Linked DNA regions of Anolis sagrei. The protein of the gene in region 1 binds, or shares a complex with, the protein of each later gene. Links are inferred from orthologs where the notes say so. Each region holds a gene or a part of one and is shown in the gene's direction. Other genes may lie near its edges.

What was found. Proteins that work in one complex are often made in the same cells at the same time.
Region 2: the proteins of DIAPH1 (region 1) and PFN2 are in contact, whole or in part, in a crystal structure (PDB 2V8F), measured with the Mus musculus proteins. The link is inferred for Anolis sagrei from reciprocal best matches to the Homo sapiens genes DIAPH1 and PFN2. Residues at the interface, in NP_031884.1 of Mus musculus: Ile635, Pro636, Pro637, Pro638, Pro639, Pro640, Leu641; in NP_062283.1 of Mus musculus: Ala2, Gly3, Trp4, Ser6, Tyr7, Asn10, Ala28, Tyr30, Trp32, Arg108, Met131, Tyr134, Leu135, Ser138, Phe140.
Region 3: the proteins of DIAPH1 (region 1) and PPFIA3 are in contact, whole or in part, in a crystal structure (PDB 4UWX), measured with the Mus musculus proteins. The link is inferred for Anolis sagrei from reciprocal best matches to the Homo sapiens genes DIAPH1 and PPFIA3. Residues at the interface, in NP_031884.1 of Mus musculus: Lys252, Ser255, Ala256, Ile259, Gln307, Asn310, Ala311, Thr314, Pro315, Ala316, Glu317, Arg322, Gln352, Cys354, Val355, Glu358, Gln359, Glu362; in NP_084017.2 of Mus musculus: Pro719, Arg720, Arg723, Leu724, Arg726, Met727, Ala728, Ala730, Leu731.

The regions. Positions count from the first base shown.
Region 1 is NC_090024.1:135,161,849-135,169,263, forward strand, and holds the start of DIAPH1 (protein diaphanous homolog 1), read left to right. Parts: upstream 1-4,344; 5' UTR 4,345-4,554; coding exon 4,555-4,725; intron 4,726-7,415. UniProt on the Homo sapiens protein: Actin nucleation and elongation factor required for the assembly of F-actin structures, such as actin cables and stress fibers. Binds to the barbed end of the actin filament and slows down actin polymerization and depolymerization.
Region 2 is NC_090023.1:240,960,804-240,967,756, reverse strand, and holds the start of PFN2 (profilin-2), read left to right. Parts: upstream 1-3,880; 5' UTR 3,881-4,241; coding exon 4,242-4,373; intron 4,374-6,953. UniProt on the Homo sapiens protein: Binds to actin and affects the structure of the cytoskeleton. At high concentrations, profilin prevents the polymerization of actin, whereas it enhances it at low concentrations. By binding to PIP2, it inhibits the formation of IP3 and DG.
Region 3 is NC_090026.1:28,515,833-28,523,511, reverse strand, and holds the start of PPFIA3 (liprin-alpha-3), read left to right. Parts: upstream 1-4,606; 5' UTR 4,607-4,940; intron 4,941-7,679. UniProt on the Homo sapiens protein: May regulate the disassembly of focal adhesions. May localize receptor-like tyrosine phosphatases type 2A at specific sites on the plasma membrane, possibly regulating their interaction with the extracellular environment and their association with substrates.

The DNA.
Region 1 (7,415 bases):
GCACTTTTCCCATGTTTTTATGACAGAACCAATTAGAAAATGACATTTATAACCCAGGAACAAAAATTGTGTTACATAGTGTTATTCCTGAGCTTCCCAGGGGAAAATGTTGCCCATTTTGGGAAACGCAGTTCTAGCTTGTTGCCACAGTTTACTCTATTGAGCGGGGGCGGACATATGCATGAGGTTGAATGTATGGTATCTTGCAAAATAGTCCAGTATTAGAAACATCTAGGCTGTTGCCAGTCTTTTGTACAACAACTTTAAAGGCACAATCACATCTTTTCTTTATGTAAGGAGAACTGAGAATGAATTCTGGTTCTGCCAATGTTTGGATGGATCAGCGGCTTCTCGCCATCATAACTATTTCAATGTTTCATGGAGGTTGCTGTCACTTTCACCTGGTAGGGCAAAGAGGAAACATAGTATTGTAAAAGCAGGCCTTTCTCATATTTAGGGAGGCTACCCTCTAGAACAGAGCTGTCCAAGCTTTTCCTGTTGGTGACACACTTTGCATCTTTTCTTGGCTCAGTAATTAAGTTTTGGTAGCAAACCAGATGTTAAACCAACCTCTTAGAAGAGACATGGACACATATATAAATAGTAATAAGGAAATGCATGGGGATACAACATGTCTCATGAAGCTTCCATTTATATCTTTAGAACTAGCCATCCCCTGCCACACGTTGCTGTGGCCCAGTCTATGTATATGTATTTTTTGTGTGTATATATATGTATATGTGTGTGTATATATGTTTGTGTATATATGTGGTTTTGTGCATGTGTTGTAATGCATTTTTTTGCCTTTTAAGTCCTTTCTGCTGTGTTTTTCAGTGTTTTATGAATGATGGCCACTTGTCTTGTGTCCAAATTTGGTGTCAATTCATATTATAGTTTTTGAGTTATGTTAATCCCACAAACAAACATTACATTTTTATATAGATTATATGATTTATATGAGTGGTTTCTCATTACAATCACGCAGCACACTTACATACCGCCTATTTGGAAAACTTTGAGCTAAAAACTAGAAATATTTTTATCTTCTGTAACCAAAGAACAAAACCTCATTCCAACTTAATATTTGGCAAGTGTTAGACTATGACTCCCATCAGCCTAAGTCAGCATTGCCTGATGGAGAAGAATGAGAGGAGCCATAGCTCACTCCAGACCATCTATCTGGAAGGGCCCTCAGTGAGCGAGTCGCCAGCCTCAAAAAGTCAAACAGAAAAATATTTCTAAAATCTTTTTACACATAAGATGAACTAGTGACAAAGTACAAGACCAGCATATACCAACAACTGAGCCCCTTCCACACAGCTGTATAAAATCCACATGTACTGGATTATATGGCAGTGTGGATTTAAGATTTATTTATCATGTCAGGAGCGAACCAAAACAGTTGTATTGGATTAAAAACAAACAAACAAACAAAACACAAAGTTTTCAGACTTGGTATTCTATTAAATGTCCTTTGACCAATAGCTGGCCACTTGGAGTGCATCTGGTGTTGCTGCAAGGAGGTCCTCCATTGTGCATGTGGCAGGGCTCAGGTTGCATTGCAGCACGTGGTCAGTGGTTTGCTCTTCTCCACACTCACATGTCGAGGATTCCACTTTGTAGCCCCATTTCTTAAGGTTGGCTCTGCATCTTTTAGTGCCAGAGCGCAGTCTGTTCAGCACCTTCCAAGTCGCCCAGTTTTCTGTGTGCCCAGGGGGGAGTCTCTCATTTGGTATCAGCCATTGATTGAGGTTCTGGGTTTGAGCCTGCCACTTTTGGACTCTCGCTTGCTGAGGTGTTCCAGCGAGTGTCTCTGTAGATCTTAGAAAATTATTTTTTGATTTAAGTCGTTTGCGTGCTGGCTGATACCCAAACAGGGAGTGGGCCAGAGTTGTCACTGCCTTGATCCTTTTACTATTGGTTGCTACTTCCTGGCAGATGTCAGGTGGTGCAATACTGGTTAAACAGTGTAATTTCTCCAATGGTGTAGGGCGCAGAGACCCTACACCATGATAATGCGGCATGTCTCATTAAGAGTCCCATCCACTGTTTTAGTGTGATGAGATGTGTTCCACACTGGGCATGCATACTCAGCAGCAGAGTAGCATAGCGCAAGGGCAGATGTCTTCACTGTATCTGGTTGTGATCCCCAGGTTGTGCCAGTCAGCTTTTGTATGATATTGTTTCTAGATCTAAGATAATTGAGTTCAAAGCAGATACTGTTAATTATCAGCCTTGATATTCTTGGGCTCTTTCCAGACAGGCCCTCTATCCCAGGATCTGATCCCAGGTTTCCTGCTTTAAACTGGATTATATGAGTCTGCACTGCCAGATAATCTGGGATTAAACAGAAAACCTGGGATCAGATCCTGGGATACAGGGCCTGTCTTGAAATTGCTCAAGAATTTCAAAGCAGATAATCCACTATATCTGCTTATCTAAGGGCCCTTCCACACAGACACATAACCAAAATCTCAAGTCGGATAATTCACAATCTATGGCAGTGTGGACTCAGATAAACCAGTTCAAAGTAGATATTGTGAAAATTTCTGCCTTGATATTGCGTCCCCCCAGGGGTGAGAAAAGCAGTATATAAATGCTGTAAATAAATAAATATTCTGAGTTGTATGGCTGTGTGGAAGGGCTCAAGAGTCCACACTGCTACAGAACCAAGTTCAAAGCACATTTATTTCGCATCAAAAGCATTGCATAAATGTGTATAAAACTGATAAAAATAGAAGGCGCGCAGGCGGCTAAATATCTTTGGACCAAAAATGGGCAACAGCTACGGCATTGTCTGTAGACTCCAACAATTCCTCCTCTGTACATGAGGCAGGGCACAGTGGACAAGCATACAAAGCAAACAACATGTGATTTTATGCAGCTGTGTGGAAGGGCCCTGGGTTGAGAAAAAGCGGGGGATTCCCTGTTGCGAGGACGCCTCTGGATTCCCCGCCTGTCTGTCCGTGTGCTTCAATGGGATTTTGGCCTGCATCAATAGGAGCATAGTGTCTAGATCTAGGGAAGTAATGCTACCCCTCTATTCTGCTTTGGTTAGACCACACCTGGAATATTGTGTCCAATTCTGGGCACCACAATTCAAGAGAGATATTGACAAGCTGGAATGTGTCCAGAGGAGGGCGACTAAAATGATCAAGGGTCTGGAGAACAAGCCCTATGAGGAGCGGCTTAATGAGCTGGGCATGTTTAGCCTGAAGAAGAGAAGGCTGAGAGGAGATATGATAGCCATGCATAAATATGTGAGAGGAAGCCACAGGGAGGAGGGAGCAAGCTTGTTTTCCGCTTCCCTGGAGACTAGGACGCGGAACAATGGCTTCAAACTACAAGAAAGGAGATTCCACCTGAACATGAGGAAGAACTTCCTGACTAATGTATTGTCAAAGGCTTTCATGGCTGGAATCACTAGGTTCTTGTGGGTTTTTTCGGGCTATAGGGCCATGTTCTAGAGGCATTTCTCCTGACGTTTTGCCTGCATCTATGGCAAGCATCCTCAGAGGTAGTGAGGTCTGTTGGAATTAGGACAATGGGTTTATATATCTGTGGAATGGCTGGGGTGTGGCAAGGAGCTCTTCCCTGCTGGAGCTAGGTGTGAATGTTTCAACTGACCACCTTCATTAGCATTTGAAGGCCTGGCTGAGCCTGGGAAAATCCTCTGTTGAGAGGTGTTAAGATGTGCCTGGTTGTTTCCTCTCTGCTGTTTTGCTGTTGTAATTTTAGAGTTTTTTAATACTGGTAGCCAGATTTTGTTCATTTTCATGGCCTCTTCCTTTCTGTTGAAATTGTGTCCAATTCTGGGCACCACAATTCAAGAGAGATATTGACAAGCTGGAATGTGTCCAGAGGAGGGCGACTAAAATGATCAAGGGTCTGGAGAACAAGCCCTATGAGGAGCGGCTTAATGAGCTGGGCATGTTTAGCCTGATTGTGAGAGCCGTTCAGCAGTGGAACTCTCTGCCCCGGAGTGTGGTGGAGGCTCCTTCTTTGGAAGCTTTTAAACAGAGGCTGGATGGCCATCTGTCAAGGGTGATTTGAATGCAATATTCCTGCTTCTTGGCAGGGGGTTGGACTGGATGGCTCATGAGGTCTCTTCCAACTCTTTGATTCTATGATTCAACACTTTGGCCTCCTAGAGAAAACACGCAAGGGACTTGGAAGCTTCCCCAGCGGACTTGAGGAAGGCTCCTCTACAAGTCGTAGCTCTATATCCACAGTGTATCTATCTGTTCCACCGTTGTCGATTCAAGGCGAATCTCCCACTTTTTTTTTTTTTTGCTTCGCGGAGGCGGCTTTGTGGCCGCGCGGCGGTGACGACACGGCGGTGGGCGGGGCCTCTCGAGGCGGGCGTGGATTCCGGCAGTTCAGGCAGGCGAGCGGGCGGGCGCGCGCTGCTGGGCCGGCGCGAGGCAGCTCTGAGGGGGTCTCATTGAAGGCTTTCGGCGGCGCGAGGCGGATGGGCCGCCTCGAGGAGTGAAGGCTCCCCCTCCCTTCCCCGGCGGTGCGCGCGCGCGCTCAGGCCCGGCTTCGAGGGGCGCCATGGAGGGCGGCGGAGGCAGTAGTGGCAGTGGCCGCGGCGGAGGTCCGTCAGCGCGAGGAGCCGGCCGCGAGAAGAAGAAGGGCAAGAGCCCTGAGGAGCCCACAGTGGCGGCGGTTTCGGCGGGAGACCCCAGCGGAGGAGGAGGAGGAGGGGGGAAGTCCCGGAAGTTTGTGAGTGTTGACGAAAGGAGGGGAGGGGGAGGCGCACCTGTCCGGCGGAGGAGAAGGAGGAGGCAGGCAGGCAGGAAGTTTCTTCCCTCAGTGGCCCTTTCCCCCTCCTTCCGGGTCTCCTCCCTTCCCTGTCCTCACACCTCTCTCTTCTCATTCCCTCACCTGGCTCAGGAGTGGCCTCGTGGCCCAGAGGGGCACTTGCTCTTCAAGTGTCAACCCTCGCCCCATAGTTTCTCGTTCTCTCTTTAAGGAGCCTTCTTCCTTCCTCTTTTAGGCAAGCCCTGTGTGTTCTGTTGCCTTCTGTATGGTTTGGAACAGAGGTGGCCCCAAGTCACAGAGTTCACTACTAGTGCTTCATGGGGATGTTTTGTAATTTAGCTCAAAAGTTGGAGCTCTCAGGGCTTGACTCATGAGCCATCACAGCCCTGCTCACTGCTGTGTACCACTGCTTCTTCCAAAGAGGGTCCGCTTTGCTCAGTGTTGGTGCCATGAAAATGTATTTATTTATTTATTTATTTAAAACATTTATATTCCGCCCTTCTCACCCCGAAAGGGACCCAGGACTGACCACAGCATGTAGAATCATAGAGTTGGAAGGGACCTCATGGGCCATCCAGTCCAACCCCCTGCCAAGAAGCAAGAATATTGCATTCAAAGCACCCCTGACAGATGACCATCCAGCCTCTGTTTAAAAGCCTCCAAAGAAGGAGCCTCCACCACACTCAGAGAGTTCCACTGCTGAACGGCTCTTACAGTCAGGAAGTTCTTCCTCATGTTCAGATGGAATCTCCTTTCTTATAGTTTGAAGCCATTGTTCGGTGTCTTAGTCTCCAGGGCAGCTCCCTAGGACTTCCCCTCACATATTATACATGGCTACCATATCTCCTCTCAGCCTTCTCTTCTTCAGGCCAGACATGCCCAGCTTTTTAAGCCGCTCCTCATAGGGCTTGTTCTCCAGAACCTTGATCATTTTAGTCACCCTCCTCTTGACACAGCTTGTCAATACCTTTCTTCAATTGACTATGTGTTCTGTTGCCTTCTGCCATGGTTTGGAACAGAGGTGGCCCCCAGTCACAGAGTTCACTACTAGTGCTTCATGGGGATGTTTTGTAATTTAGCTCAAAAGTTGGAGCTCTCAGGGCTTGACTCATGAGCCATCACAGCCCCCTGCTCACTGCTGTGTACCACTGCTTCTTCCAAAGAGGGGTCCACTTTGCTCAGTGTTGGTGCCATGAAAATTTATTTATTTATTTATTTAAAACATTTATATTCCGCCCTTCTCACCCCAAAGGGGATCCAGGGCTGAGCACAGTATATAGAATCATAGAGTTGGAAGAGACCTCATGGGCCATCCAGTCCAACCCCCTGCCAAGAAGCAAGAATATTGCATTCAAAGCACCCCTGACAGATGGCCATCCAGCCTCTGTTTAAAAGCCTCCAAAGAAGGAGCCTCCACCACACTCCGGGGCAGAGAGTTCCACTGCTGAACGGCGCTCACATTTATTTATTATTTATTTCGGTTTCTTCTACCCCGCCCTTCTCACCCCGAAGGGGACTCAGGGCGGCTTACAAAGGCACAATTCAATGCCAGCATCACATAACAGTAATAAAACAAATAGCATCAATTAACAGTTAAACAACCATTCCTGCATTACAACAATAAAACCAATACAAACCCAATTACTCCTCATTGATGGTCAGCGTTCGCTATCTCATAGTCCAAATTCCATTTCCACATTGTCAATCCTGTCAGTCCTAATCGTCTGCTTGTCCTTATCTAGTTGTCAGATTGCCCAGTCAGGAAGTGCTTCCTGATGTTCAGATGGAATCTTCTTTCTTGTAGTTTGAAGTCATTCCTCCGCGTCCTAGTCTCCAGGGAAGAAGAAAACAAGCTTGCTCCCTCCTCCCTGTGGCTTCCTCTCACATATTTATACATGGCTATCATATCTCCTCTCAGCCTTCTCTTCTTCAGGCTAAACATGCCCAGCTCCTTAAGCCGCTCCTCATAGGGCTTGTTCTCCAGATCCTTGATCATTTTAGTCACCCTCCTCTTGACACATTCCAGCTTGTCAATACCTTTCTTCAATTGACTAGTGGTTCATGGGGATGTTTTGTAATTTAGCTTTAGTTGGAGCTCTCAGGGCTTGACTCATGATCCATCACAGCCCTCCTCACTCCAGTATACCACTGCTTCTTCCAAATGGGGTCCGCTTTGCTCAGTGTTGGTGCCATGAAATTTATTTATTTTATTTGAAACATTTATATTCTGCCCTTCTCACCCCGAAGGGGACTCAGGACGGAGCACAGCGTATATAAGGCAAACATTCAATGCCAGAACAAGAATTCATATACATAAACATTAAAAACATTAATCAAAATCTATATAAATAAAAATGTAATGTTCGTTTGTGGGATTAACATAACTCAAAAACCGCTGGGCGAATTGACACCAAATTTGGACACAAGACACGTATCAGGCCAATGTGTGACCATCACTCATAAAATCACTGAAAAACATACATATATACACATATACACAAATGTATACACACACAAAGCAACAATCAGGCCAACAAGTGACCATCATAGAATCAAAGAGTTGGAAGAGACCTCATGGGCCATCCAGTCCAACCCCCTGCCAAGAAGCAAGAATATTGCATTCAAAGTCCCCCTGACAGATGGCCATCCAG
Region 2 (6,953 bases), on another chromosome or scaffold:
TTCAGCAACCCTATCTTTCTTGGCACGATTTCTGCAGAAGAGATTTCCCATTGCCTTCCTCCACAACTGACCGAGAATATGAACCCTGGTTTCCCAAAATCCTAGGCCAATATTCAGGCCACAATGGTCCTTCTGAATTCCTTAGATGTATAATCCTATACTTCCCTGCCAAAGAAAGTGACTTTCCAGGTAAGCCTACTGTTTGTTTATATGATCAGCATATGCAAAATAAATAGAAACATCTGTCACAGGCTCAGAACTAGAAACAAGCATCCCTACTGCACTGCATCCTAAACACTATATCAGGTATGGGCAAACTTGGCCCCTCGCTCCAGGTGTTTTGGACTTCAACACCCACAATTCCTAACAGCCGGTAGGCTGTTAGGAATTGTGAGAGTTGAAGTCCAAAACACCTGGAGGGAGGGGCCAAATTTGCCCATACCTGCACTATATTCAGTAAGTTGGAATTCAAAGCAGACGTGCTCCCAAGTATTTCAACATCCACACGAACCATGTTAAATCATCATCATTAATTAGGAACTGGATTAAGAAGTCCAACTGCAAAGAAATCAACAAGTGAAGCCCTTTTTTGTCACTGCATTGGTATTCTCAGGAAAAGCTGCAAATGCAGAAGGTTGCTGGTTTATTTTGCAGCAGGGGGTTCTCAAGCACCGAAATATAGGCACCAGATTTCCTAATCCAACAGAAACTGACTCTTCACTGTAGAATGAATACAGTTTGGCACCACTTTATCTGTCCTGGTTCAATGTTAGGGAATCCTGTGAGTTATCACTTGTCTTTGGCAAAGAAGGATAAAGACCTTGACAAATAGTGTATCTCAATCTGGGGGTCGAGGGGGGGCTTTAGAGGGGTCACCAAAGACCATCAGAAAACACATATTTCTGATGGTCTCAGGATCCCCTTTGGCACAGAAGGCTGAAGATCTCTCTGTCTGTCCTTCTCTTCCTTTTTGGAAACAGATAGCAAATCCTCCCACCAAAAGCCCTCCTCCTATTCTCTGGATGTTGGTGAACAAACACTCCACAATTCAAGGTCCATACTCACAAAATCTTTCCAGTATTTTCTGTTGTAGGTGAACCACAACTCCAAAACTCAAGGTCAATGCCCATCAAATCCTTCCAGTGTTTTCTGTTGGTCATGGGAGTTCTGTGTGCCAAGTTTAGTTCAATTCCATCGTTGGTGGAGTTCAGAATGCTCTTTGCTTGTAGGTGAACTATAAATCCAGCAACTATAATTACCAAATGTCAAGGTCTGTATTCCCCAAACTCCACTAGTGTTTACATTTGGGCATATTGAGTATTCATGCCAAGTTTGGTCCAGATCCATCATTGTTTGAGTCCACAATGCACTCTGGATGTAGATGAACAACAACTCCAAAACTAAAGATCAATGCCCACCAAACCCTTCCAGTATTTTCTGTTGGTTATGGGAGTTCTGTGTGCCAAGTTTGGTTCAATTTCATAGTTGGTGGAGTTCAGAATGCTCTTTGCTTGTAGGTGAACTGTAAATCCTAGGAATTACAACTCCCAAATAACAAAATCAATCGCTCCCCAACCCCACCAGTATTCAAATTTGGGCGTATCACGTATTTGTGCCAAATGTGGTCCTGTGAATTAAAATACATCCTGTATTTGATATTTATATTACAATTCATAAGAGTAATAAAATGACATGAAGTAGCAATTTAATGGTGGTGGGGGGGGGGGGGGTCACCACAACATGAGAAACTGTACTAAGGGGTCATGGCATGAGGAAGGTTGAGAAACACTGCCTTAGAAGCATTCTCTCCTGACGTTTTGCCTGCATCTATGGCAAGCATCCTCATTTAAATTTAAAATAAATATTTAAGATCTTTTGCTGTGTTTTTAGCTATGAAACAGGTTCAAGCTTCTTAAATTTCATTTACAGTACTTTTTTTGGACTTCTCAACCTCTGAGGATGCTTGCCACAGATGCAGGCGAAACGTCAGGAGAGAATGCTTCTAGAACATGGCCATATAGCCCAAAAAACCTACAACAACCCAGTGATTCCAGCCATGAAAGCCTTCGACAATACACTTGCCTTAGAAGCTAGAAGTGTCTTAATGAATACAGAGCAACAGCCACATTGGGATGGCTGCAGCAATTAAGAAGGCTGAGAACATTCCTAATTAACAGCATTGAGCCAGGGAAGTGAAAGTGGGGCCAAATTGGTTATTGATTGTGATATATATTGATTGTTTTAATTGTTATAACTGTTTAACTGCTGTTTTTATGCATTTTTGTAGTATCGTGTAGGCATCAAATTGTGCCTGTTTGTAAGCCGCCCTGAGTCCCCCCTCGGGGGTTGAGAAGGGCGGGGTAGAAGTACACGAAATAAATAAATAATAAATAAATAAATAAACTGCATCCAGGCTCCAATGTGGCAGCATCCAGGGAAGTACAGTAAAAGTGACCCAGGTTAAAAAAAAGGAACCTTACCTAAAATTCTGGATAACGCTTGATGGAGACAAGGAGCCATAAGTCCTTCCTGAGAAAATAAGACTGGCACGCCTTGGGAGTAAGTCCAAAACACCTGGAGGGAGGAGGGCCCAAGTTTGCCCATACCTGCACTATGTTCAGGAAGTTGGAATTCAAAGCAGAGGCAGATTCCCAAGTATTTCGAGATCCACACTAAACCATCATCATTAAGTAAGAAGTGGGTGAAGAGGTCCAACTGCAAAGAGCCCACCAGCAGGTGCACAGAGAGAGAGAGAGAGAAAGAGAGAGAGAGAAAGAGAGAGAGAAAGAGAGAGGTGGGGGAGAGAGAGAGAGAGAAAGAAAGAGAGAGAGAAAGAAAGAGAGAGAGAGAGAGAGAGAATCATAGAAACAAAGAGTTGGAAGAGACCTCGTGGGCCATCCAGTCCAACCCCCTGCCAAGAAGCAGGAATATTGCATTCAAATCACCCCTGACAGATGGCCATCCAGCCTCTGTTTAAAAGCTTCCAAAGAAGGAGCCTCCACCACACTCCGGGGCAGAGAGTTCCACTGTTGAACGGCTCTCACAGTCAGGAAGTTCTTCCTCATGTTCAGATGGACTCTCCTTTCTTGTAGTTTGAAGCCATTGTATCATTGCGTCCTAGTCTCCAGGGAAGCAGAAAACAAGCTTGCTCCCTCCTCCCTGTGGCTTCCTCTCACATATTTATACAGAGAGAGAGAGAGAAAGAGAGAGAGAGAGAGAGAGAGAGAGAGAAAGAAGGAGAGAAAGAGAGAGAGAAAGAGAGAGAGAGAAAGAAAGAAGGAGAGAGAGGGAGAGAGAAAGAGAGAGGGGGAGAGAGAAAGAGAGAGAGACCCAGCTTTCATCTGTTCTCGCCCCCCATCCCAATTGCACAAGGGCATGCTGTGCAGCTGTCAAGACGCTTCACCCTCTCCCGGGCAGCTAGCTCACAAGTGCTAAGAGGCAGGCAGCAAAGGGGAGAGAGAGAGAAAAGAGGGGGAAAGGAAGAAGAGGAGGAGGAGGAGGAGAAAGAAGGAGCTGGTGCGCAGAAGTCCCCTTACTCAGAAGGAAGAACGAGGTGTGCGCGCGCACATCCCTCCTCCCTCCCTCCCTCCCTCACAGGCGCGCGCACAAACACACACCTCTCTTGCTCTCTTTCGCTCGCGCGCGCGCCAGGCACCAGCACTGAGCGCGCGCGCGTACACACAGAAGGTATCCCTCCGCCCATAAGGCCTTGCTTGAAGAAGCAGGATTACGCTATATAGACTGAGAAGGGAATAGAGTAGCAAAGCAACAGCAGCAGTAGCAGTAGCAGCAGTGGCGGAGGGATTCTTATAACCAAAGTGAAGAGGCCTCCGCGGCGGCAAGCCTTTGCTTCTCTTCACTCTCTCTCTTCTCGAGCGCGCGCTCGACGCCGCCGCCGCCTCGAGCCTCGCCTGCCCTGAGGAAAGAAGAAGAAGAAGAAGGGGAGAAAAGGCCGTTGGAGAGAGAGAGAGAGGGAAAGGAAGCGAAGGAAAGGAAAGGAGGGAGGGCGGCCATTCGCGCCGCAAACGCCTCAGGTGGACCCACCCCCTCGGTCCCCTCCCCCGAGCGACCGCCTTGCCCGCCCGCCTGCCTGCCTTTTCTGCCCTGCTCTGCTCCCTCCCTCCTTCCTTCTTTCCCCGCCGAGGCCCATTGGCTTCCTTCCTCTCCTTCCTTTCCTCCCCCCGCCCCCCTTCCTCTCTCTCTCTCTCTGTCTCTCCCTCTGTCTCTTCACCGGGCCGAAGATGGCAGGCTGGCAGAGCTACGTGGATAACCTGATGTGCGATGGCTGCTGCCAGGAGGCCGCCATTGTCGGCTACTGTGACGCCAAGTACGTCTGGGCCGCCACGGCCGGCGGCATCTTCCAGAGCATTACGGTAAGGAGAAGGAGAAGGAGGGGGAGGGAGGGAGGGAGGAGAGGGAAGGAAGCCATGGGGGGGGGGGGGGAGAAGGAAGGGGGTGGGGAGGAGATCTCCAGAGAGAGAGGGGAGGGAAGGAGACCACGACCCCCGGAGGAGGAGGAGGAAAAGGAGGCCCCGAAGGGCTTGAGCAGAGAAGGCGCCTTCATCTCATGGGAAAAGGAGGGGGGGGGGGGAGGAAATTGCCTCCTCTTCTTCACCTTAGTACTAATAATAATAATGTTTCCCACCCCTCATCTTCACCTTAGTAATATAATAATAATGTCTCTTCCCTCTTCTTCACCTTAGTAGTAATAATGTCTCCCACCCCTCTTCTTCTTCACCTTAGTAATGTAATAATAATGTCTCTTCCCCCTCTTCCTCACCTTAGTAATAATAATAATGTCTCCCGCCCCTCCTCCTCTTCTTCTTTTTCTTCACCTTAGTAATATAATAATAATGTTTCTTCCCCCCCTCTTCTTCACCTTAGTAATAATAATGTCTCCCACCCCTCTTCTTCTTCACCTTAGTAATATAATAATGTCTCTTCTCTTCTTTACCTTAGTAATAATAATAATGTCTCCCGCCCCTCTTCTTCACCAGAGTAATATAATAATAATGTCTCTTCCCTTCTCTTTTTTTACCTTAGTAATAATAATAATAATAATAATGTCTCCCACCCCTCTTCTTCTTCACCTTAGTAATATAATAATGTCTCTTCCCTTCTCTTATTCACCTTAGTAGTAATAATAATAATGTCTTCCTCCCTCATCTCCACCTTAGTAATATAATAATTTCTCTTCCCCTCTCTTCTTCACCTTAGTAATATAATAATAATAGTAATACAGCCTCTCTTCTCCCCTCTTCTTCACCTCTCTTTTCCTCACCTTAGTAATAAGAATTATTATTATACTTTCTCTCTTCCCCTTCTTCACATTCCTCCTTTATCTTAGTAATAATATTCTTATTTACCTCCCCCTCTTCTTCACCTTAGTAATAAGAAGTATTATTATCCTTTCTCTCTTCCCCTTGTTCTTCTTCTTCACAATAATATCAAATGTTTTCTCTCTTCCCTTCTTCACATCCCTCCTCTATCTTCGTAATATTCTTCTTCACCTCCCCCCTCTTCTTCGCCTTAGTAATAAGAATTATTATTATTATACTTTCTCTCTTCCCCCTCTTCTTCATCTACCTCTTCTTCTTCACAATAATAACATAATGCTTTCTCTCTTCCCCCTCTTCTTCTTCTTCTTCACATCCCTTCTCTTTTTCCTAACAATAATGCTTTCTCTCTTCCCTTCTTCACCTCCCTTCTCTTCCTCTTACTAATAATAATGCTTTCTCTCTTCCCCCTCCTTCTTCAGCCCTCCTCCTCTTCCTCACCTTAGTAATAATAACAATAATAATTCTTGATCTCTTTTCCCCTCCTCTTCTTCTTCACACCCCTTCTCTTCTTTTTCATCTTAGTAATAATAATGATGATGATGCCTTCTCTCACCTCCCTCCTCTTCTTCATCTTAGTGCTAATATTGTACACAACATAGTTTTTTTTAAAAAAAAATCCATAAAATACATTAATCAGAATGCATTTCTTATGAATTGCCACCTATTAAAATGCTCAGGATTCAAAAGATCCAAATGCAGCAGGCACAGGACGTGACTTTAAAAGCCATAGTTAAAGCACTGGCTGCTGGCTCCACGCGTGGAAAAGGCGCGTTTTTTTCACACTCCCCCCCTCCTCTCCCCGGTGTGATTCTTCCCCCAGGGCTGGTGGCTTTTCCTGAGAGGCGTGTATGTTTGAGTGTGTGTGTATGTGTCTCGGTGGGCTTCTCAGATGCTTAGAGGAGATGGCAGAAAAGGCCCAGCTTGGGGGTGGGGGGGGGGGGAAGGTGTCAATGGCAAGCGAGCCCCTTCCTTCCTTCCTTCCTTCCTTCCTTGCCTCCCCTCCTCCCGTTCTTCCTCGGCCCTCCTGCGCTAGAGAGGCCTGTCCATTGCGCCTGGGGATGTGGGGTGGGCTCCCTTCCCTTTATCCAGAGCTGCTGCCCCCTCCTTCCCTCCCTCCCTTTAACAGAAGGATGAAAGGCCCTTTTCCCTGGAGGCGGGGCAAGGAAGGAGGCTCGCGTTTTGGGCCTTGGGTGTTCCCCGGGCTCCCTCCTCGGCCCCGGGTCAGCCCCCGGTGGGGAGAGGATCCTCGGGGACCCATTTTGTGCTCGGGGAGGCTGGGGCGGTTGAATGGCCAGCGCCGGTTGAAGCGAAGCCGGCAAATCTGGGGGAAGGCCGGGCCGGGCTGGGCGGAGGCAGAGGCGGGCTCGGGGGCGATCATCTTGGCGCGGCTGGGCGTAGGGTTCCCTCCTCCCCGGCCCGCGTTGCTGGGGAGGGACCTGCGGGTCCCCGCGGAGGAGGCTTTTGTGAATCCGTTCCCCGCTACCGGCTCCATGTTTTTTGCCTCCAAGATGGCGCACTGCCGCTGATTTTTTTAACCCCTCCTTTCCTCCCTCTCTCTCCTCTCCCGAGATATTAATCACCCCTCTTCTTCCTGCACTGCAGTCTTTCTCCTTG
Region 3 (7,679 bases), on another chromosome or scaffold:
ACTCACCACTTTTATGGTGGGACCCCCAAAAAATGAATAAAAAAGTATCTCTGTATGCAACCACAAGAGGGCAGTGTACAGCTAGAAATGGGATGCTGTGAGTTTTCCGGGTTGTATGGCCATGTTCCAGAAGCCTTCTCTCCTGACATTTCACCCACATCTATGGCAGGCATTCTCAAAGGGTTGAGGAGTCTGCTGGAAACTAGGCCAGTGAGGTTTATATATCTGTGGAATAATGTCCAGGCTGGGAGAAAGAACTCTTGTCTGCTTGAGGCAAGTGTGAATGTTGCAATTGGCCAGCTTGATTAGCATTTAATGGCCTTGCAGCTTCAAAACCTGGCTGATTGATGCCTGGGAGAATCCTTTGTTTGGAGGTGTTAGCTGGTCCTTATTGATTATTGTCAGGAATTCCTCTGCTTCCTTATGCTGTCAGTTGTTTCCTTGATGTATGGTAAGAACACCTTTCCTCTGGATCTTTGTCTTTACTCTTCATGTCTTGCTATTAGAAATGCCTGTACCTCCCTATGAGATTGAGAGCCCTTCTACACTGCCATATAATCCAGAATATCAATACAGATAATGTGGATGATCTGCTTTGAACTGGATTATCTGAGTCTAGGATCCCCCGGTGGTGCAATGAGTTAAACCCTTGTGCTGGCAGGACTGAAGACTGACAGGTTGGAGGTTCAAATCCGGGAGAGTGCAGATGAGCTCCCTCTGTCAGCTGCAGCTCCCCATGCAGGGACATGAGAGAAGCCTCCCACAAGGATGGTAAAACATAAAACATCAAACCCCTGGGCAATGTCCTTGCAGACGGCCAATTCTCTCACACCAGAAATGACTTGCAGTTTCTCAAGTCGCTAAGATTAAGGTTTTCCCTGACATTAAATCCACTCGTGTCTGACTCTGGGGGGTGGTGCTCATCTCCATTTCTAAGCTGAAGCCGGCATTGTCCATAGACACCTCCAAGGTCATGTGGTTGGCATGACCAAAGCGGTACCTATCCACCTACTCATCTTCCCACATTTGCATGTTTTTGAACTGCCCACCCTGCTCCCTGGATTTGAACCATTGACCTTTTGGTCAGCAAGTTCAGCAGCTCAGTGGTTTAACCTGATGCACTATTGGGGGCTCAAGTTGCTCCTGAAACAAAAAAATCTGACTCTACACTGCCAGATAATCCAGCTCAAAGCAGATAATCTGGATTTTATACATCTGTGAACAAGGGGCCTGAGACAGTGTATTTCTCAAGTCATATTGCCCTGGCAACTCATGGCCCGTTTTTCTATTTGGGGGGGGGGGGGTGTTTCTGTGTTTCCCAGCCGCAATGTGCACACCTGTCCCAATTTTTCACCCTGTGTTCCTTTCCACGAGGGCAGAAGATATTGCTGCTGTGTTGATTCAGAGCTAACATTTCTACAGTGCCCAGAATAAAACGTGTGACCAGATTCCCCCCTCCCTTTCCCAATCCAATGCAATGCCATCTGGAAAGGCCCTTCTTCCTTCATGATGCATGGCTCTCTCCCTTCTCCCTTCGGATCCTCTCTCTTGCATCGATTGGCAGTTCTTTACCTCCACGCATTGATTTTTATTTTTCGACTTCTCGCCTTGTCTCCTACTGTGGCTCGTGACAGATTTCCTGGGTTTTCCTGAAACTGGCAGGTTCCAGGAAAGGAAGGGGCCTCTCCTTCCCTCGCAGGGCATTGCTTCATGTGTCCTTTTTGCACAGATGAGTTTAATAGAGGGATGCAATGGGTTTATTTATTTATTTATTTTGCAACCACTGACTTGTGCAAATTGGTGCATTTCTCTGGAGCACGTGGTTGTAGGGATGTGCCACACTCCCTTCCTTTTTTGACCAGGCTCTTTGGAGGTTTACCTATGTATGGCTTCTGAGTTCAACAGAGCTGCTGCCTCTCCTTGGTGGCTTTCTCCCTTAGGTTGCATGGGCTGGTGCATTTCCCTCCTTTCCTTTAACCCCATCCTTTCGCTTGGAGATGTGCATTGGGGGGGGGGGTGGCTTTGCTTTTGGGTCCTTCCCTTCCCTTCCTTTAGCCCATCCTTCTGCTGGAGTTGTGCATTTGGGGAGAGGAGTTTGCTTTTAGGTCTTTTCTTCCCTTTCTTTTCCTTCTTTTAACCTCATTCTTTTGCTAGACTTGTGCATTGGGGGGGGGGGTTGCTTTTGAGTCCTTCCTTCCCTTCCTTTAACCCCATCCTTTTGCTGGAGTTGTGCATTTGGGGAGGGGAGCTTGCTTTTGGGTCCTTGCATCCTTCCCTTCCATTCCCTATCCCTTTAACCTCGTCCTTTTGCTGGAGTTGTGCATTTAGGGAGGAAAGCTTGCTTTTGGGTCCTTCCAGCCTTCCCTTCTCTATCCCTTTCACCCCATCCGTTTGCTGGAGTTGTGCATTTGGGGAGGGGAGCTGTGCTTCCTTTTGGGTCCTTCCTTCCTGTCCCTTCCCTTCTTTTAACCCCATCCTTCTGCTGGAGTTGTGCATTTGAGAAGAGGAACTTGCTTTTGGGTCCCTTCTCTTCCTTTAACCCCATCCTTTTGCTAGAGTTGTGCATTTGGGGAGAGGAGCTTGCTTTTGGTCCTTCCTTTCCTTCTTTTAACCCCATCCTTTTGCTAGAGTTGTGCATTGGGCGGGGGGGGGGGGGGGTGGCTTTGCTTTTGGGTCCTTCCTTCCCTTCCTTTAACCCCATCCTTTTGCCGGAGTTGTGTATTTGGGGAGGGGAGCTTGCTTTTGGGTCCTTCCATCCTTCCCTTCCATTCCCTATCCCTTTAACCCCATCCTTCTGCTGGAGTTGTGCATTTGGGGAGAGGAACTTGCTTTTGGGTCTTCCCTTCCTTCCCTTCATTTAATCCCATCCTTTTGCTAGAATTGTGCATTTGGGGACAGGAGCTGGCTTTCCATTTGGGTCCTTCCCTTCCCTTCTTTTCACCCCATCCTTTTGCTGGAGTTGTGCATTTGGGAGAGGAGCTTGCTTTTGGGTCCTTCCTTCCCTTCCCATCCCTTCCTTCAACTCCATCTTTTTGCTAGAGTTGTGCATTTGGGAAGGAAAGCTTGCTTTGCTTTTGGGTCCTCCCTCCCTTCCTTTCTTATCCCTTTAACCCCATCCTTTTGCTGGAGTTGTGCATTTGGGGAGAAGAGCTGGCTTTCCTTTTGGGTCATTCCTTCCTGTCCCTTCCCTTCTTTTAACCCCATCCTTTTGCTGGAGTTCTGCATTTGGGGAGAGGAGCTTGCTTTTGGGTCCTTCCTTCCCTTCCCATCCCTTCCTTTAACCCCATCCTTTTGCTAGAGCTGTACATTTGGGGAGGCAAGCTTGCTTTGCTTTTGAGTCCCCTTCCTCCCTTCCTTCCTTCCTTCCTTCCTTCCTTCCTTCCTTCCTTCCTTCCTTCCTTCCTTCCCTTCTCTATCCTTTTCACCCTATCCTTTTGCTGGAGTTGTGCATTTGGAGAAAAGAGCTGTCTTTCCTTTTGGGTTCTTCCTGTCAATTCCCTTTTTTAACCCCATCCTTTTGCTGGAGTTGTGCATTTGGGGAGAGGAGCTTGCTTTTGGGTCCTCCCTCCCTCCCTTTTCTATCCCTTTCACCCCATCCTTTTGATAGAGTTGTGCATTTGGGGGGGGGGGGTGTTGGCTTTCCTTTTGGGTCCTTCCTTCCCTTCCCTTTTTTTAACCCCATCCTTTTGGTGGTGTTGTGCATTTGGGGAGGCAAGCTTGCTTTGCTTTTGGGTCCTTCCTTCCCTTTTCTATCCCTTTCACCCAATCCTTTTGCTGGAGTTGAGCATTTGGGGAGGCGAGCTGGCTTTGCTTTTGGGTCCTTCATTCTTTCTTTCCTCCCCTCCCCATCCCTGCTTGCTGCATTTCCAACGGCCCCATTCAAGCCTTCTCTCCATGTGGCCCCTGCTTTAGAGGCCACCCCCAATACACTGCAGGAATCGGTGCCTTCCTCTGCTCCAACGAAGGCTTTCATGGCCGGAATCACGGGGTTGCTGTGAGTTTTCCGGGCTGTGTGACCATGTTCCAGAAGCATTCTCTCCTGACGTTTCACCCACATCTATAGCAGGCATTCTCAGAGGTTGTGAGGTCTGCTGGAAACTAGAAACGTGGGGTTTCTATATCTGTGGCATGTCCTTTCCCTTCCCTTTCCGCATTTTGGTGCATTTTTCCGCCCTTTGCTGCAGCGTCTCCTTCTTTTCTCCACCGGACAGTAGTAGCATCCATGTTTCATGGGTGTCATGCCCTTTTCCCCCCCTTTGCCTGCCTCCCCTCCCTCCCCTCACCCCGTTTTTACCTGCGATGCATCTGATTCCTTTCTCTCCTCCTCCCCCCCCCCTCCACCTCTTTCCTCCTTTTCCTCCCCTTCTTCCTCTCTTCCCCCTCCTTTTTCCGAAAGGACCACCGCATGACATCATCCTAAAACTCGGCCCCGCCCCCAGGCTTCCCCCATTGGCTCCCCGCGGCCCCCTCCCCTCCGCCCACCCGCCTCCCCATTCATTGGCTTGGCCGCCGTGCCACTCGCAGCCCGCCTCCCCCCGCCCTTACCCACCGAGGGGCGGTGCCTCAAGGGTTGTCCCCGAGCTTCCCGGGCGCGGAGTGGCCAGAGGGCCGGTCAGTCAAGGCTCCCTTAAAGGGGCAGGCGCGCCGCGAGCTTTGCGCCGAGCCAAGGGGCGGGCTTGGGCTCCTGCTTCTCCTCCTCCTCCTCCTCCTCCTCCTCCTCCTCCTCTTCTCGCTGGCTGGGTCTGCCTCGGAGGGGGGCTGCCAGGCGGTGGCCGACCGACCGGCCGGCTGGAGGGAGGGCGGGAGGGAGGGAGGGATGCCGGGGATGGGCGCCGGGGACCCGTGAAGGCCGGCCGCGGAGGAGGCGCCCTCCCGCATCCCTCCCGCAGCAGCACCGCCGCCGCCGCCTGCATCGCCTCCCCCGCCTGCTGCAAAGACAGGTAAGGAGCCCGGCCGGCCCTTGGGAAGGAAGACCGCATCTCCCGGGAGCCTTTCCTCCCCCAAAGGCACCCCTCTTCCATTCCTGAGCATCCCAGGATGCTCAGCCTTGGGACCAGCCTCCCTCCTCCCCCCCCCCTATTCTGTCTCCCCCATCTTCTCCCCAAAATGCAATCCATGACACAGTGTCTCCTCTGCAGCCTTGCCTGCATCTCCGATGGCCTTCTCCCTCCCTTGGCGCCTCCCGCATCCTCTGATCAGGACCCACACCTTCCTCACGCATTCAGCATCCAGCCTCCTCGCCTTCTGCCAAAGCCTTGCATGCCCACAGACTCATCTTGGACCCCAAGCCCTTCTCCCCCCGCACACAGCCCGCTCCTTCTGTCTCCCCAAGGCACCAAAGGGCCCTGCCACACAGCCCTCTATCCCAGAATCTCAAGGCAGGAAACCCCACATTATCTGAGTGTGGACCCAGGCCCCTTCCACACAGCCCTATATCTCAGAATGTCAAAGCAGAAAACCCCACATTATTTGAGTGTGGACCAAGGCCACTTCCACACAGCCCTGTATCTCAGAATATTGTGGAAGGAAACCCCACATTATCTGAGTGTGGACTCGGTGCCTTTCCTCACATCCCTATTTCCCAGAATATTAAGGCAAGAAACCCCACAATATCTGAGTGTGGACTCAGGGCCCTTCCACACAGCCCTATATCCCAGAATACCAAGGCAGAAAACCCCACATTGAGTGTGGACTCAGGCTCCTTTCACACAGCCCTATATCAGCCTTGGGACCAGCCTCCCCCCCCCGCCCCCCTTGTGGCAGGAAACCCCACATTATCTGAGTGTGGACTCAAGGCCCTCCCACACAGCCCTATATCTCAGAATATTAAGGCAGGAAACCCCACAATACCTGAGTGTGGACTCAGGCCCTTCCACACAGCCCTATATCTCAGAATATTGTGGCAGGAAACCCCACGTGTTCTGAGTGTGGACTCAGGGCCCTTCCATACAACCCTATATCTCAGAATATTGTGGCAGCAAACCCAACATTATCTGAGTGTGGACTCAGTGCCATTCCTCACATCCCTATTTCCCAGAATATTAAGGCAGGAAACCCCACAATATCTGAGTGTGGACTCAGGGCCCATCCATACAGCCCTATATCCCAGAATACCAAAGCAGAAAACCCCACATGATCTAAGTGTGGACTCAGGCCCCTTCCACACATCCCTATATCCCAGAATATGATGGCAGAAAATCCCACATTATCTGAATGTAGACTCAGGCCCCTTCCACACATCCCAGAATATCCAGACAGAAAATCCCACATTATCTGATTGTAGACTCAGGGCCCTTCCACACAGTCCACAATATCTGCTATGAACTGGGTTTTCTGAGTTCACACTCAGATAACATGGGATTTTCTGCCTTGTGTGGAAGGGCCCTTAGAGCTTCCTTCTTCCTCTCCTTACTCTTCCTCACAGCACCCAGGACACTTTCCATGCCATCTCCGCCATCTCAACCCTCTTTTCCCACCACAAACCCCCTCTGATGCCACCCAACCAACCAATCAACCAAAGCAAGCAGGCATCCTCTAGCTTGCTCTTATACCTTTCCTTCCTTCTTCTCCTGGAACCTTCTCTTTATTTATTTACTTCGCTTGTATACTGCTTTTCATGGAATCATAGAGTTGGAAGAGACCTCGTGGGCCATCCAATCCAACCCTTCAGCCAAGAAGCAGGAAAATTTCATTCAAAGCATCCCCAACAGATGGCCATCCAGCCTCTCTTTAAAAGCCTCCAAAGAAGGAGCTTCCCTCCACCACATTCCGAGGCAGAGAGTTCCACTGCTGAACAGCTCTGTCTCACAATCAGGAAGTTCTTCCTAATGTCTAGGTGGAATCTCCTTTCCTGTAGTTCAATACCCTAGTCCCTGGGGCAGCAGAACACAGGCTTGCTCCCTCCTCCCTGTGACTTCCCCTCATATATTTATACATGGTCATCATGCCTCCTCTCAGCCTTCTCTTCTGCAGGCTAAACATGGCCAGCTCTTTAAGCCACTCCTCATAGGGCTTGTTCTCCAGACCGTTGATCATCTTCGTCACTCTCCTCTGGACACATTCCATCTTGTCAACATCTCCCTTAAATTGTGGTGTTCAGAATTCATAGAATCATAGAATCATAGAATCAAAGAGTTGGAAGAGACCTCATGGGCCATCCAGTCCAACCCCCTGCCAAGAAGCAGGAATATTGCATTCAAATCACCCCTGACAGATGGCCATCCAGCCTCTGCTTAAAAGCTTCCAAAGAAGGAGCCTCCACCACACTCCGGGGCAGAGAGTTCCACTGCTGAACGGCTCTCACAGTCAGGAAGTTCTTCCTAATGTTCAGATGGAATCTCCTCTCTTGTAGTTTGAAGCCATTGTTCCGCGTCCTAGTCTCTAAGGAAGCAGAAAACAAGCTTGCTCCCTCCTCCCTGTGGCTTCCTCTCACATATTTATACATGGCTATCATATCTCCTCTCAGCCTTCTAATTGGACACAATATTCCAGGTGTGGTCTGACCAAGGCAGAATAGAGGGGTAGCATGACATCCCTGGATTTAGACACTAGACTCCTATTTATGCAGGCTATAATCCCATTGGCTTTCCCCCCCACCACATGACATGGTTGGCTCATGTTTAACTTGCTGTCCACGAGGACTCCAAGATCTTTTCCACACGTACTGCTATCGAGCCAGG